Oryctolagus cuniculus: one gene and its partners. The protein of the gene in region 1 purifies or fractionates together with the protein of each later gene. This does not show direct contact. Links are inferred from orthologs where the notes say so. Each region holds a gene or a part of one and is shown on either strand. Other genes may lie near its edges. The genes, in order: FOS, STK40 and COP1.

Region 1 (4,270 bases):
AGAGAAAAGAGACACAGACCCAGGCCTGGCTCAACATGCTACTAACTACCAGCTCTCAGAAGTGCCACTGGGAACAACACACACTCCATGCGTTTTGCTACATCTCCGGAAGAGGTAAGGACTCGGGTCCACACGCGGGTGCGTTCCAGTCCTTGCGGCCCACAGCCTGGTGTGTTTCACGCACAGATCGCGTCCTCCCTAGTCTACCGGAACCCTCGAGGGAAGACGTGGTTCTTTCTGTAATGCACCAACTCCGGACAGAGGCAGGGCGCCGCGCCGGCTGCCTCCCCAGCCCGGCCGGCTCACAGGGCGAGCAGTGTCGGGGAGCTGAGCGAGTCAGAGGAGGGCTCGTTGCTGCTGCTGCCCTTGCGGTGGGCCGCGGCGCAGCTGGGGAAGGAGTCAGCCTCGGGGTAGGTGAAGACGAAGGAAGACGTGTAAGTGGTGCAGCTTGGGGTACAGGTGACCACCGGGGTGCACAGGGGCTCCAGCTCCGCAGCCATCGGCCCCATCCCCAGGGCGCCACTGTGCAGGGGCTCCCAGTCTGCGGCATAGAAGGAACCGGACAGGTCCACGTCCGGCACAGAGCGTGCCGTCTCCGAGCCGCTGGGCCTGGATGACGCTGGGAACAGGAAGTCATCGAAGGGCTCGGCCTTCAGCTCCATGCCGCTCAGGTTCTTGCCGGGCTCCACTGCGGGCTTAGGCTCCGGGTCGTTGAGGAGGGGCAGACTGAAAGGCTCCTCGGACTCCGGGGTGGCAGCCTCGGGCAGGCCCCCGCTCAGATCCAGGGATCCCACGGACATCTCCTCGGGGAAGCCCAGGTCATCGGGGATCTTGCAGGCGGGCCGGTGGGCTGCCAGGATGAACTCCAGCTTCTCCTTCTCCTTGAGCAGGTTGGCGATCTCCGTCTGCAGCGCAGACTTCTCGTCTTCTAGCTGATCTGTCTCCTGTGTTGGGGAAGGATGGAGACAGCATGAGACTCGGTCACACTCCAGGGCCCAGCCTCGAACTTCGAAAGGTGTGACCCCTGGGGTCTACTTACCGCCTGCAGGGTATCGGTGAGCTCCCGCCTCCGGTTTCGGCACTTGGCTGCAGCCATCTTATTCCTTTCCCTTCGGATTCGCCTCTTCTCCTCTTCCTCGGGTGACAACTACAACGACACCAAGCAGAGAGCGCTTCAGTAACAGTGACAGCCACCACTTCGGGGAAGCTGGCTCCTGCCGCCTCCCAGCTCCCTGGCACCTCCTCTGACGAGTATTTCTAACCTGCAGTCGCAGGCGGGGTGTGACTTGCATTTAAAATCAGATCCTCAGCCCAAGAACAAAGATGAGCCCAGGCTGAGGGCGCCAGCGACAGGAAACTATCAGGGAAGAAAACTACAGACGGACTTCTTGGGGGCGGGACTATCGGAGTCTGGCCTGGAGCCAGGCTTCCTGGCTCGGGATGGGATGCACAGACAATTCCCACTCTGGCTTCATCCTCGCTGCTGGGTTCCCCCAATCTCCGCTGCTGTCCCCGTGACCCGCCTCCCCCACCCCCCAAGGTGCAGAGGCGCCCCTCACCTGCTCCACCTTGCCCCTTCGGCCGATGCTCTGAGCTCTGCCTCCGGTCAGGGTCTTCACGTTTCCAGCCCGGGGGTAAGCCCCAGCCGAGGGGGCGGGGACTCCGTAAGGGTGGGGGGCTCTGGTCTGCGACGGAGCCACGGAAGAGACCAGGGTGGGCTGCACCAGCCACTGCAGGTCCGGGCTGGTCGAGATGGCAGTCACGGTGGGGATGAAGTTGGCAGTGGAGACGGCCAGATCCGAACAGAAGTCCTGGAAGAAAACAGAAGGAGAAGCCGCCGTGAGCGCGCGGGTTGCGTTCACAGGTGGGGCGCGCCGGGTTCCCAGCGCCTGCCGCATGCAGCAGCCGGGGAACGGCGCCTGCGGGGTCTGTTAGTTCCCATCCCGGCTGGAAGCTCTGCCCTCTGCCCGCAAGGTCTCCGCAACGCGGCGCCTCCTGTCTCCAGCCCGCGGCCGTGTTCCCGTTATTTCTCCAGCAGCATCACTCGCTGGAAAGGGGGTTTGTTATAAATATCCCTGACGTCCGCGCTGACGCAGGCGCCGCTCCGGAGTCTCCAGAATGAACTCGCTTTTTATCAATGAAACTGCCTTACGCACCCTCCTCCCGCGCCCCTCCTCCCGGCTCCGGGCCGCCCTCTGCCGCCTGCCCCAAAGGAGCCGGACCTCCACCTGGCGAGTCTCTCCCTGGGCTCACGTCCGCCCCGGTCGCAGAGGGCGGGCAGGGGGCTGCCCGGCGCGGACCCGCCGGGCAGAGGGGCAGGCATGGCTTACTATGACGACTGGCGAGCGTGCGCTCACAACAAGCCCCGCGCTCCCAGACTGGGGCTGCTCCGGCCGCGGCAGCCTCCCACCCTGGCGACCCCCCGGGTCCCGGGCCCCACGGAGGCGCCAGTGCGCCCTCACCTGCGCATTGACCGGGGAGCCCATGCTGGAGAAGGAGTCGGCTGGGGAGTGGTAGTAGGAGAGGCTGTCCCCGGCTGGCGAGGCGCTGCTGCAGCGGGAAGACGCTGCCTCGTAGTCGGCGTTGAAGCCCGAGAACATCATGGTCGCAGGGAGGGCAAGCTGGGCGAGGGGCCTGGGCACCGAGGCCGGCGGAGCGCTGGCTGGGGCAGAGCTGGGTCGGAGCGCGGTCACTGCTCGCTCGCTATGCAGCGGCCGCCGGCTCTGTCTCAGGTTCTTGGCTGCTCGCTGCAGAGGCGCTTGGAGTACGAGGCGCCGCAGCCACCGCTTTTATAACAGCATTTTGTGAATGAGCCCAACGGCGTCACCGGGCGCAACCATGTGGCGCTGGAGGGGTGGCGCGCCGGCTGGGGTGGCGCCGCTGCGACCCGGCCACCCCCAGCCGCGCGCAGCCCCCGCCCCGGTATGCCTGTGAGTCCTTACTCTGCGGGCGTGGCGAGATGAGGGTCCCGGAGGGGTCTCAGACCCCCGAGAAGAGGGTCTTCGGGGGTGGCTCCCCCCACGGCGACACGGGACGGCCGTGGAAACCTGCTGACGCAGATGTCCTAATATGGACATCCTGTGTAGAGGGGGGAGGGATTGACGGGAACTGCTCGCGGGCTGCAGCCAACATTGAGGGTGCAGCGCGGGGGGGAAGCGGGGGCCGCGCCGGGGCGGGGGAGGGGAGGCGGGAGAGGCGGAGAAGGCGAGCGAACATTCCCACTGGGCACGCTGCGGACCCTTGTTCCTGGGGTCGTGGGGGATGGGACGGAGGCCGGCCTCTCACCCCGGTGCAGGGACTAGGGTTGGTTCTGAGGCTCAAGTACTGGAGGAACAGGTACACGGCCCCGAGGGCGCAAGCGCGGCTCGCAGAGGAACGCACGCAGCCCCCATTCCCGACCCTCGCCCTAGCTGGGTGCAAAATGTGGCCCCAGACCCGAGCCCCTGAGCCCCCGAGCCCCCAGGGTCCCAGGATCATTACTACGTTTGGAAGCAGAACGTGATGGGTCTAAAATGAAATACGGTAGCCCGGCTTGATTTGCGAGGCGGGGGTACTTTGATTTTTACTGATTCGTTTTCGTGTTTGGAGGAAGGCAGCGCACTTGTTTTTTTCTTCTGGGCCGAACGTGGGGGTGTTAGTGTTACTGTCCAATCCCTGGGACGCCCGTCCATATACGTCATACAGACCCCCGCGCCAGGATGCCAAGGGGTCGTCAGCCGCGTTCCGAGCGGCGTCCTGGGGGTGGGTGGCCTGTGCGGGGCCCCAAGGTGGACTGAGCCGCCAGGGAACGCAAGTCAGAGCTGGGGGTGCGGTGGGGGCCGGGTCGGTTCCGCCAGGAAACTGGGCTCCCAAGGAGCCCGCAGCGGGTGATTTTCCAGCTCGGATGGGAGGCGGGCAGCAAGGGGAATGGAAGAATGGTGCCCAGCAGTATCCAGGCGGGAGGCCTCGAGGCCCGGGCCCTGGAAACCTGGAGGTCTTGGGGGCCGAGCAGGTGCTGCAGAACGCGCCACGCCCCCCCAACGCCCCCAGCCTCCCGCTGGGCTGCAAAGGACCGCCGGGGTCACACTGTCCCAGCTGGGCCCCGGCGCGCCGGACACCCCTGGAGTGCAACGGCGCAGGTCCCTCTGCAGGACCCCTGAGTCCTCTGACCCACTCTGGGGGCCTAGGGGTCGCGGCCAGCCGAGGACCCGCTCCCGGGGAGGGGCGAGGCAGGGTCAGGACAGCGGGCGGGTCGTGGGTGGCGTGCGGGGAGCGGAACCACGGACCTGCC
Region 2 (3,714 bases), on another chromosome or scaffold:
CACACGTGTGGCCTGGGCTGTCCCCGGCCTTGCCCCGTCCCCACTGCAACCTGGGGCAGTCCAGCACGCTAGGATCCAGCCCGCCAGCCAGGCCTTCGGCTGCGGCACAAGAGGTGGTGTTGGTGCTGACGCCCCTGCTGAGGCTGCTACTTGCGCAGGTAGCGCTGTGCCAGGATGGCTGTGTCCAGGGAGCTCATGGGCTGCGCGTCGTGGCCCAGCCGCCGCACGGGGGGCACGCTGCCCAGCTGCCGCTTGGGCACCCAGCTCCGGGCCTCGTGGATGCAGCTCTTCTCCTCGGCCAGCAGCAGCTGCTGCCGCATGTAGTTCTCAAACTCGTACTGGGAGCACTCCTCCGTCACCTTCGCCTGTGGGGCCCAGATGGGGCGAGACACAGAAAGCAGTGGAGACGGCGCGGTGAGTGCTGAGCAGCCTGGCTCCTGTGGCTCCCCCACCCTCCCCCAGCATCCACAACCTCAGTCTATCTGGGAGGGGCTGAGTGTGGGTCCCTGGTGCTCTCCAGGTCTTGCTGGCCACCCTGGGTGTGGCTATAGCAGGTGGCAGCTATGGCACACACCTGGCCTGCCCCAGAGTCCTCCCTAACTCTCCGACCTCGGGAAGGGTCACGCTTGCTTTCTCCCCAGAGGTAGGCAGGTGTCTCTTTCACAAAGGTCCTGTGAAGCCAGTGCCACGGCTCACTAGGCTAATCCTCCACCTTGTGGCGCCAGCACACGGGGTTCTAGTCCCGGTCGGGGCGCCGGATTCTGTCCCTGTTGCCCCTCTTCCAGGCCAGCTCTCTGCTGTGGCCAGGGAGTGCAGTGGAGGATGGCCCAAGTGCTTGGGCCCTGCACCCCATGGGAGACCAGGATAAGTACCTGGCTCCTGCCATCGGATCAGCGCGGTGCGCCGGCCGCAGTGCACCAGCCGCGGCGGCCATTGGAGAGTGAACCAACAGCAAAGGAAGACCTTTCAGACCTTTCTCTCTGTCTCTCTCTCTCACTGTCCACTCTGCCTGTCAAAAAACAAAAAAACAACAACAACAAAAAACCACAAAGGTCCCGTGGTCCTCAGGGACCAACACAGGCCAGGGAGTAAGAGCATGTTGGGGGAGCCGGCACTGTGGCACAGTGGGTTAAGCCATGACCTGCAGCACCAGCATCCCTTGTGGGTGCCGGTTTGAGTCCTGGCTGCTCTACTTTGGATCCAGCTCCCTGCTAATGCACCTGGGAAAACAGCAGAAGATGGCCCAAGTGCTTGGGCTCCTGCCACCCATGTGGGAGACCCAGATGAAACTCTAGGCTCTTAGGCTGGCGCCGCGGCTCACTAGGCTAATCCTCTGCCTAGCGGCGCCGGCACACTGGGTTCTAGTCCCGGTCGGGGCGCCGGATTCTGTCCCGGTTGCCCCTCTTCCAGGCCAGCTCTCTGCCTGTGGCCCGGGAGTGCAGTAGAGGATGGCCCAAGTGCTTGGGCCCTGCACGCCATGGGAGACCAGGAAAAGCACCTGGCTCCTGGCTCCTGCCATCGGATCAGCGCGGTGTGCTGGCCGCAGCGCGCCAGCCGTGGCGGCCATTGGAGGGTGAACCAACGGCAAAGGAAGACCTTTCTCTCTGTCTCTCTCTCTCACTGTCCACTCTGCCTGTCAAAAAAAAAAAAAAAAAAGAAACTCTAGGCTCCTGGCTTTGACCTGGTCCAGCCCTGGCCATTGCAGGAGAGTGAACCAGCAGATGGAAGATCTTGCTCTGTTTCTACCTCCCTCCTTAACTGCCTTTCAAATAAACAAATCTTCAAAAAAAAAAAAAAAAAAAAAAAAAAAAAAAAAAAGTGGGCTGGGGCACTCTGGATGACCGTCTATCTATCTCGGCCACACAAGGCCCAGACTGAGCACGCAGGGACACTGATGGACAGGAAGACTGCAGGTCCCCGGTGCTAAGCACTCTATCCTCAAGGGTTAGCTCCACTATGAGGCTGTGAGACTTCGGGAAAGTCATCTTAGCTCTCTGAGATGGGGTTAAGAACAGAGGCCACACAAGCCCCTGGTGTGATGCCAGAGCTGTCCTGGGGCAGCCACTGAACAGCCTGAGGAGGGAGGGAGCGCGCAGAGGCCAGGTGGCTCTGCCGGGCCCCAGGCACAGCCCTTCCCACTGCTGGTGGCAGAGGTCCAAGGTGGGCAGAGAAGGCAGGTCCTTACACCACGCCAGGCCCAGCGTCTCGCCTGGGGCTGGCCCTTGTCCTGCTCCCCAGGGCACACCCTAGGGTCTCTGCCCCGTCCCAGGCTCAGCACTTGCACCAGTGCAGGGAACGGGGAAGGGGAAGCAGGAACTCAGATGAATGAATCATCTGAAAAATGAAAGGCAGGAAGGAGTGAGAGCCCAGTGAGTCAGAGGGGCGGGGAAGGTGACTACCCCACATGTCCACTGGGGGGCCTCCCAGGAGCTCGCTTCCACCCGGCAGCCGCTCAGCCCCCGCTGCACTGGGCAGGAGGGAGGAGGAGGCTGCACCCACAGGGAGCCACCGCCTCTGCCCCTGCCAGGCCTGCCCTCCCCACTCACCTCCTGGGAGCTGTCTGCGTTGCTCATTTGGTCATCGATGTCAGGAACCACTTGCAAGGGCCCGCTCAGAGATGACAGGGACTGCCTGTGGGGTGGACACAAGCCAGGTGGCTCCAGGCAGCCCCGGACTCGGCTGCAGTCAGACTAACCTGCCTGACACGACCGCCTGCTTCTCTGGCCCTCAGTTTTTCCTTCGCAGGTGGCAGTGAGAACCCAGTGAGGCAGTGCCCACCCTCTGATGGGCCTGAAGTGCAGCGAGTGCCCTGCTCTGCCTGCACCCTCCCCATCCTGCCCGCGGGGAGACTCTGGACGCCTGACTCTGCCTCATGGCAGGCTGCGTGTCTGTCCTGCACCCAGCCCAGCTCCTGCCCACTCACCACGAAGCAATGATGGCGCTCAGGGCCTCCAGGACGTCAGCGGCAGCCAGGCGCTGCTGGGGGTCAAGGACCAGCAGTTTTCGGATGAGACACACGGTGTTCTCAGAGACTCTCCCATCCCTGACATGGAGAGGGAGGTGGAGAAGGAGAAGGCTCAGCAGGGTGGCCTGGGGCCAGACCTCACGCAGGACCCCAGCCCACGGGGCTGTTTCCCCACCCCCAGGGACACAGGACTCACTCCGGGATGGTGTACTCTGCGGCCTTGATCTTGCGGAAGAGCTCCTGTGGGACGCTGTCGTAGAAGGGGAACTGGCCGTAGAGCATGGTGAAGAGCACCACGCCCAGGGCCCACATGTCGCTGGGCTTGCCCCGGTAAGGCCGGCCTGGGGGAAGGGCGACACACACACACACACACTCAGCGTGGGAGACAGCGCCTCCCTTTGGATGCGCAGCTCTGTGCCTGAAATCCCACCACGGGGTCCTCCGCCTACCTCCCACATGGCTGGTCCCTTGCAATCCCCTTTGGCACATGCTCACCGTGCATCACCTGGGATGCCTTTCCTGACTCCTTGGGGAGGGATCATATTGGCCACATGCAGCCCACACACCTACCCAGCCCTACTGTACCGTCTGCTCCACCAGACTGTGAGCCCTGACCCCATCCCCAGAGCTGGGCACCCACAGCAAGTCGTCACTGATGCTTGGAACAGATTCCTGGCTCTGGACGAGTCAGCCACCAGGGCCCGGCCACTGTCCCACAGCCCACCTGTCTCCTGCACAGCACGTTACTG
Region 3 (3,714 bases), on another chromosome or scaffold:
TCAAATAAATCAATCTCTTAAAAAAATTAATAATGTTGCCTACCTCAATCTCTTTTTCTACTCTTTTTGTTTTTTAATAACTGCCACATGGTCTACAATTGTATTTCGACATAGTACCATCAAATAACAGGAAAACGTTAACAAGAACTCTCTTCCACATAGAATGCAGTTCTCAGTCCACTTTCAATTTAGCAGCTTCTTACTGTAGTTTCTACTTACAGACTATTACAGAGGTTAACAAGGAGTTAGAGTCTGAGCCAAGAAATGACAGCTTTCTATGTGTAAAAGTTGCTTATCAATAGTTTTAAACTTATTCAAAAAAATATCTTGGCTTCCTCTAATCTTCCTAGAAAAAACACTACGTAAATCCAATACAAGGACTTTCAAAATGTGTATAAAAAAAGGAATTAAAAATGTGAAACATTTTTAAGTTCACACATAATTATTTAAAATAATATCCATCATCATGACATTTTTGAAGATACTTTGCACATTTTTCTCTCTACTACCAAACCTCATATAAATTTGTGTAAAAGATTTAAAAAATATATAGATTTTAATAATATTTTTTCAAGAGAAAATTAAGGCCTAGTTTTAAACAACAATAAAAAACAAGGCATATTTTTCTTTGGTAGCCTTAGGGCATGTGTACTAATGACATCAATTAACAAAATAGCCAAGAAATGCCAAACGCTGTGCTTCACATAAATGACGTGTATCCCCTAAATAAACCTTTAATGTAGGTATTGAAGTCACCACTTCACCAGTGAGCATAGATGCTAAGAACGGTTGAAGAACAGGGAGTTTTATTACTTCTCCACATCAGCGCACTCTATGCCACCACATCATATCTTGGCATACGTCACCTCTTCTACCTTGAACATGTTTCCAATTACTTTTCCCAGTTAATCCCTAATAGCCCAAATACAACTTCTCCAAAATCTTGACAGGATTCCATCTCTCCATTTTCAACGCTGCCTGGCTTTCCCCTATTTGTAGAATAGGAGATTTCTTCTCTATTACTATAACATCCTTTACATATTTAAGTAACACATAGTATCACACAGAATTATGACTTACTTGCTGCTTTCTCCCTTTACAGTAAGAACTGGTTCTTCTACCTTTCTATCCTCAGCAGTGCTCAGAACTTAATGGTGACTAGGTAACTTAATATTTTTATTTTTGCTAGCTATATGTTTATGGCTGCTTTTCCAAGCTTTATACAACTTATTATATGAAATTAAAAACTTTCAAACAGATAGCAAAAATCACCACTAAAAAGCAATATTCTCCAATCTCTCTCAGAATCTCCATACTGCTTTGAAAGACTACGTAAAAAATGCAAACTTATCCTTTGCAGCTAGAACTTTCCAAAAATCCAGCATAAAAACCTAGAAATAGATCTGAAATATGAATTTCAGATACTTTAAGAGGCGTCCTGAACATGTACCTGAGATACGAGACATCCTTGTAGAAAAATAACACTGCTCTAGGTCTTCAAAATGAGCAGTGAGTCGTTTTCGTCTTGAAGCTAATGTGCTGATATACCAAGGCTGTTTCTTTGTCTAAGGCAATAATAAAAAAAGATATTTATAACTCAGAACAAATCAGACCCTTTTATACAGAATATTATCCAAATGTTTGTATATTTATAAGTATCTAAAGTTCATCACAATAAAATGATTACAAATGGTGAAAAACCATGGTTTCTAGATATTTTCTGATTTCTCTTTTAAAGTGAAAATAGGTACCAAATTTACTAACAGAATGACTAAAACAAAAATGAATTAAAAGATAAGTACTAAATGAGAGTTTTATAAGACTAAAATGAGAAACATCTTAGAACTCTCTGAATTAAATGAAGTGTTATTCTAAAATTTTGAATTTTACGAATCTTAAAAAACAGAAATTATTAGAAAGCAATTATTAAACAGAAAACTATTTTTCATCATCTTTATATTGTAGTCTCACACTGAATTATCAGAACAGCTCCTGATTGTAGGAAATATCCACTTAATACTGATTATTAGATTAAGCAGTAGTAATATTTCTTACTAAAGAGTTTTACTTATTTATTAGAGAACAGAATAACAAAATCAGATAGAAAAAGTCAAAGACAACAATCCAGAAATACAGTGTAAGATACTGTAAACATCAAAGATCCATGATCCTAGGTGTACATTACCTACAAGCTTGTTTAAAAAAAGGCTATTATCTATCTTGAGGCACATAAATAGATAGAGAAGATATATAATGAGATCTTGGAATCACACAATTCACCAACAGGTATAGTCAGAACGTCAAATGCACTACCTCGAGAGTACTAAGTACTATAGTAGACACTGCACAGTGTGCCCTTGCTTTAATCAAACTAGGTGGAAGGTAAGAATCATATTGTGAAGTACTGCTTTACTCACAGGAAAGGAAGATAACTTCCAAAGACATAACAAAGAAGAAGCTGAACTCAGAAAAATGATGGCGAACAAAGTACAACAGCACAGGACAGTGGGGAAAAGAGGACAGTCGTTAGTCTGGGGACAAAAGCCTGCTTACCAAGTCCTTCACTGCAATTTGGCAACCACCCCACGCAAGGAAACCTAACACAGAATTTGCAAACTAGAAGAGATATCTAAAGGAATTACCTACAATGAAAGTCAGAAACCAGAAAGCTTGAAAGAAATGATATGAGAAATAAAAGATGGAATAATGATTTGAAATATGGCCAGAGTATCAGAAGAAGAGTGCAACAGGTTCAATAAAGAAGTGTTTAAAGAACTGGTAGCTGGAAATCTTCCAGAACTGGAAAGAAACATGAACACACAGACACAGAAACTATTCCTACCAAGCAGGATGACTAAGAGGAAGTCTAAAATTCGAGCCATTATGTTTTTGTCCAACGGCATAAAGAAGATCTGAAAACTCAAACAGAAAAGATAACTTATTTAAAAGATTAACTTACTTAATTATTTAATAATAAAGAGGCAAAATACTTTTAAAAGCAATAGAAGAAGACAGAACACAACATACTTTGATTATCATCAAAAATTGAGGAAAAATAACTCCAGTCTAAAATTCAGGACCCGATAAAACTATCTTGCAAAATGAACAAAATATATTTTCCTATGCATGAAAACAGTTTATAACCAATGAGCCAAATCTAAAGGAATTTCTGAAATTGTGTGTGGTACCTGAAATACACATAACAAAAACTAGAAGGTCTAAGACACAAAACTGAGAGAGCAAGAAAACTACCAACCAAATAAATGATTCTAAATATTGCTGCCAATTATAATAGTGATTTGTGGGGTTTAGAAAATACCTGTATATATACATACATAGCATAGACATCACACAGAAGTGAGGAAAATCTGGGTTTTGAAGTGACTATATTTTTCAGGAAAGTAATTAAGATACTGATTAAGAATAGACTGTTTAGATGACAAATGTGGATTAATTTCAAGGATAACTACTGAAAGGATCGTAACACAACAGGTAGCATTCAAATCTGTAGAGGGGTAGTGAGAGGAATAAATATAAGAAAAAAATCAAAATGTGAGGAAATAGCAAAAATAAGGAGTAAAACAGAGAGAAACTACATCAGTATTCATAATAATCTAAATGGAAACACGCACCAATCGAAATAGTGATAGAACTCATTTTCTGAAAACATAACCGCAGGCTATCTGCCAAAGAAACATCTAAAACATAAACAAA

What was found.
Region 2: the proteins of FOS (region 1) and STK40 purify together in Homo sapiens (affinity purification with mass spectrometry; 3 studies listed by BioGRID and IntAct, counting the BioPlex papers as one, with this or other methods). This does not show direct contact. The link is inferred for Oryctolagus cuniculus from reciprocal best matches to the Homo sapiens genes FOS and STK40.
Region 3: the proteins of FOS (region 1) and COP1 purify together in Homo sapiens (affinity purification with mass spectrometry; 4 studies listed by BioGRID and IntAct, counting the BioPlex papers as one, with this or other methods). This does not show direct contact. The link is inferred for Oryctolagus cuniculus from reciprocal best matches to the Homo sapiens genes FOS and COP1.

Annotation. Positions count from the first base shown.
Region 1 is NC_091451.1:21,316,087-21,320,356, reverse strand, and holds the start of FOS (protein c-Fos), read right to left. Parts: upstream 2,801-4,270; 5' UTR 2,604-2,800; coding exon 2,463-2,603; intron 1,812-2,462; coding exon 1,560-1,811; intron 1,148-1,559; coding exon 1,040-1,147; intron 945-1,039; coding exon 303-944; 3' UTR 1-302. UniProt on the Homo sapiens protein: Nuclear phosphoprotein which forms a tight but non-covalently linked complex with the JUN/AP-1 transcription factor. In the heterodimer, FOS and JUN/AP-1 basic regions each seems to interact with symmetrical DNA half sites.
Region 2 is NC_091438.1:136,336,986-136,340,699, reverse strand, and holds part of STK40 (serine/threonine-protein kinase 40), read right to left. Parts: intron 3,307-3,714; coding exon 3,162-3,306; intron 3,044-3,161; coding exon 2,924-3,043; intron 2,632-2,923; coding exon 2,547-2,631; intron 366-2,546; coding exon 147-365; 3' UTR 1-146. UniProt on the Homo sapiens protein: May be a negative regulator of NF-kappa-B and p53-mediated gene transcription.
Region 3 is NC_091438.1:4,284,855-4,288,568, forward strand, and holds part of COP1 (E3 ubiquitin-protein ligase COP1), read right to left. Parts: intron 1,566-3,714; coding exon 1,451-1,565; intron 1-1,450. UniProt on the Homo sapiens protein: E3 ubiquitin-protein ligase that mediates ubiquitination and subsequent proteasomal degradation of target proteins.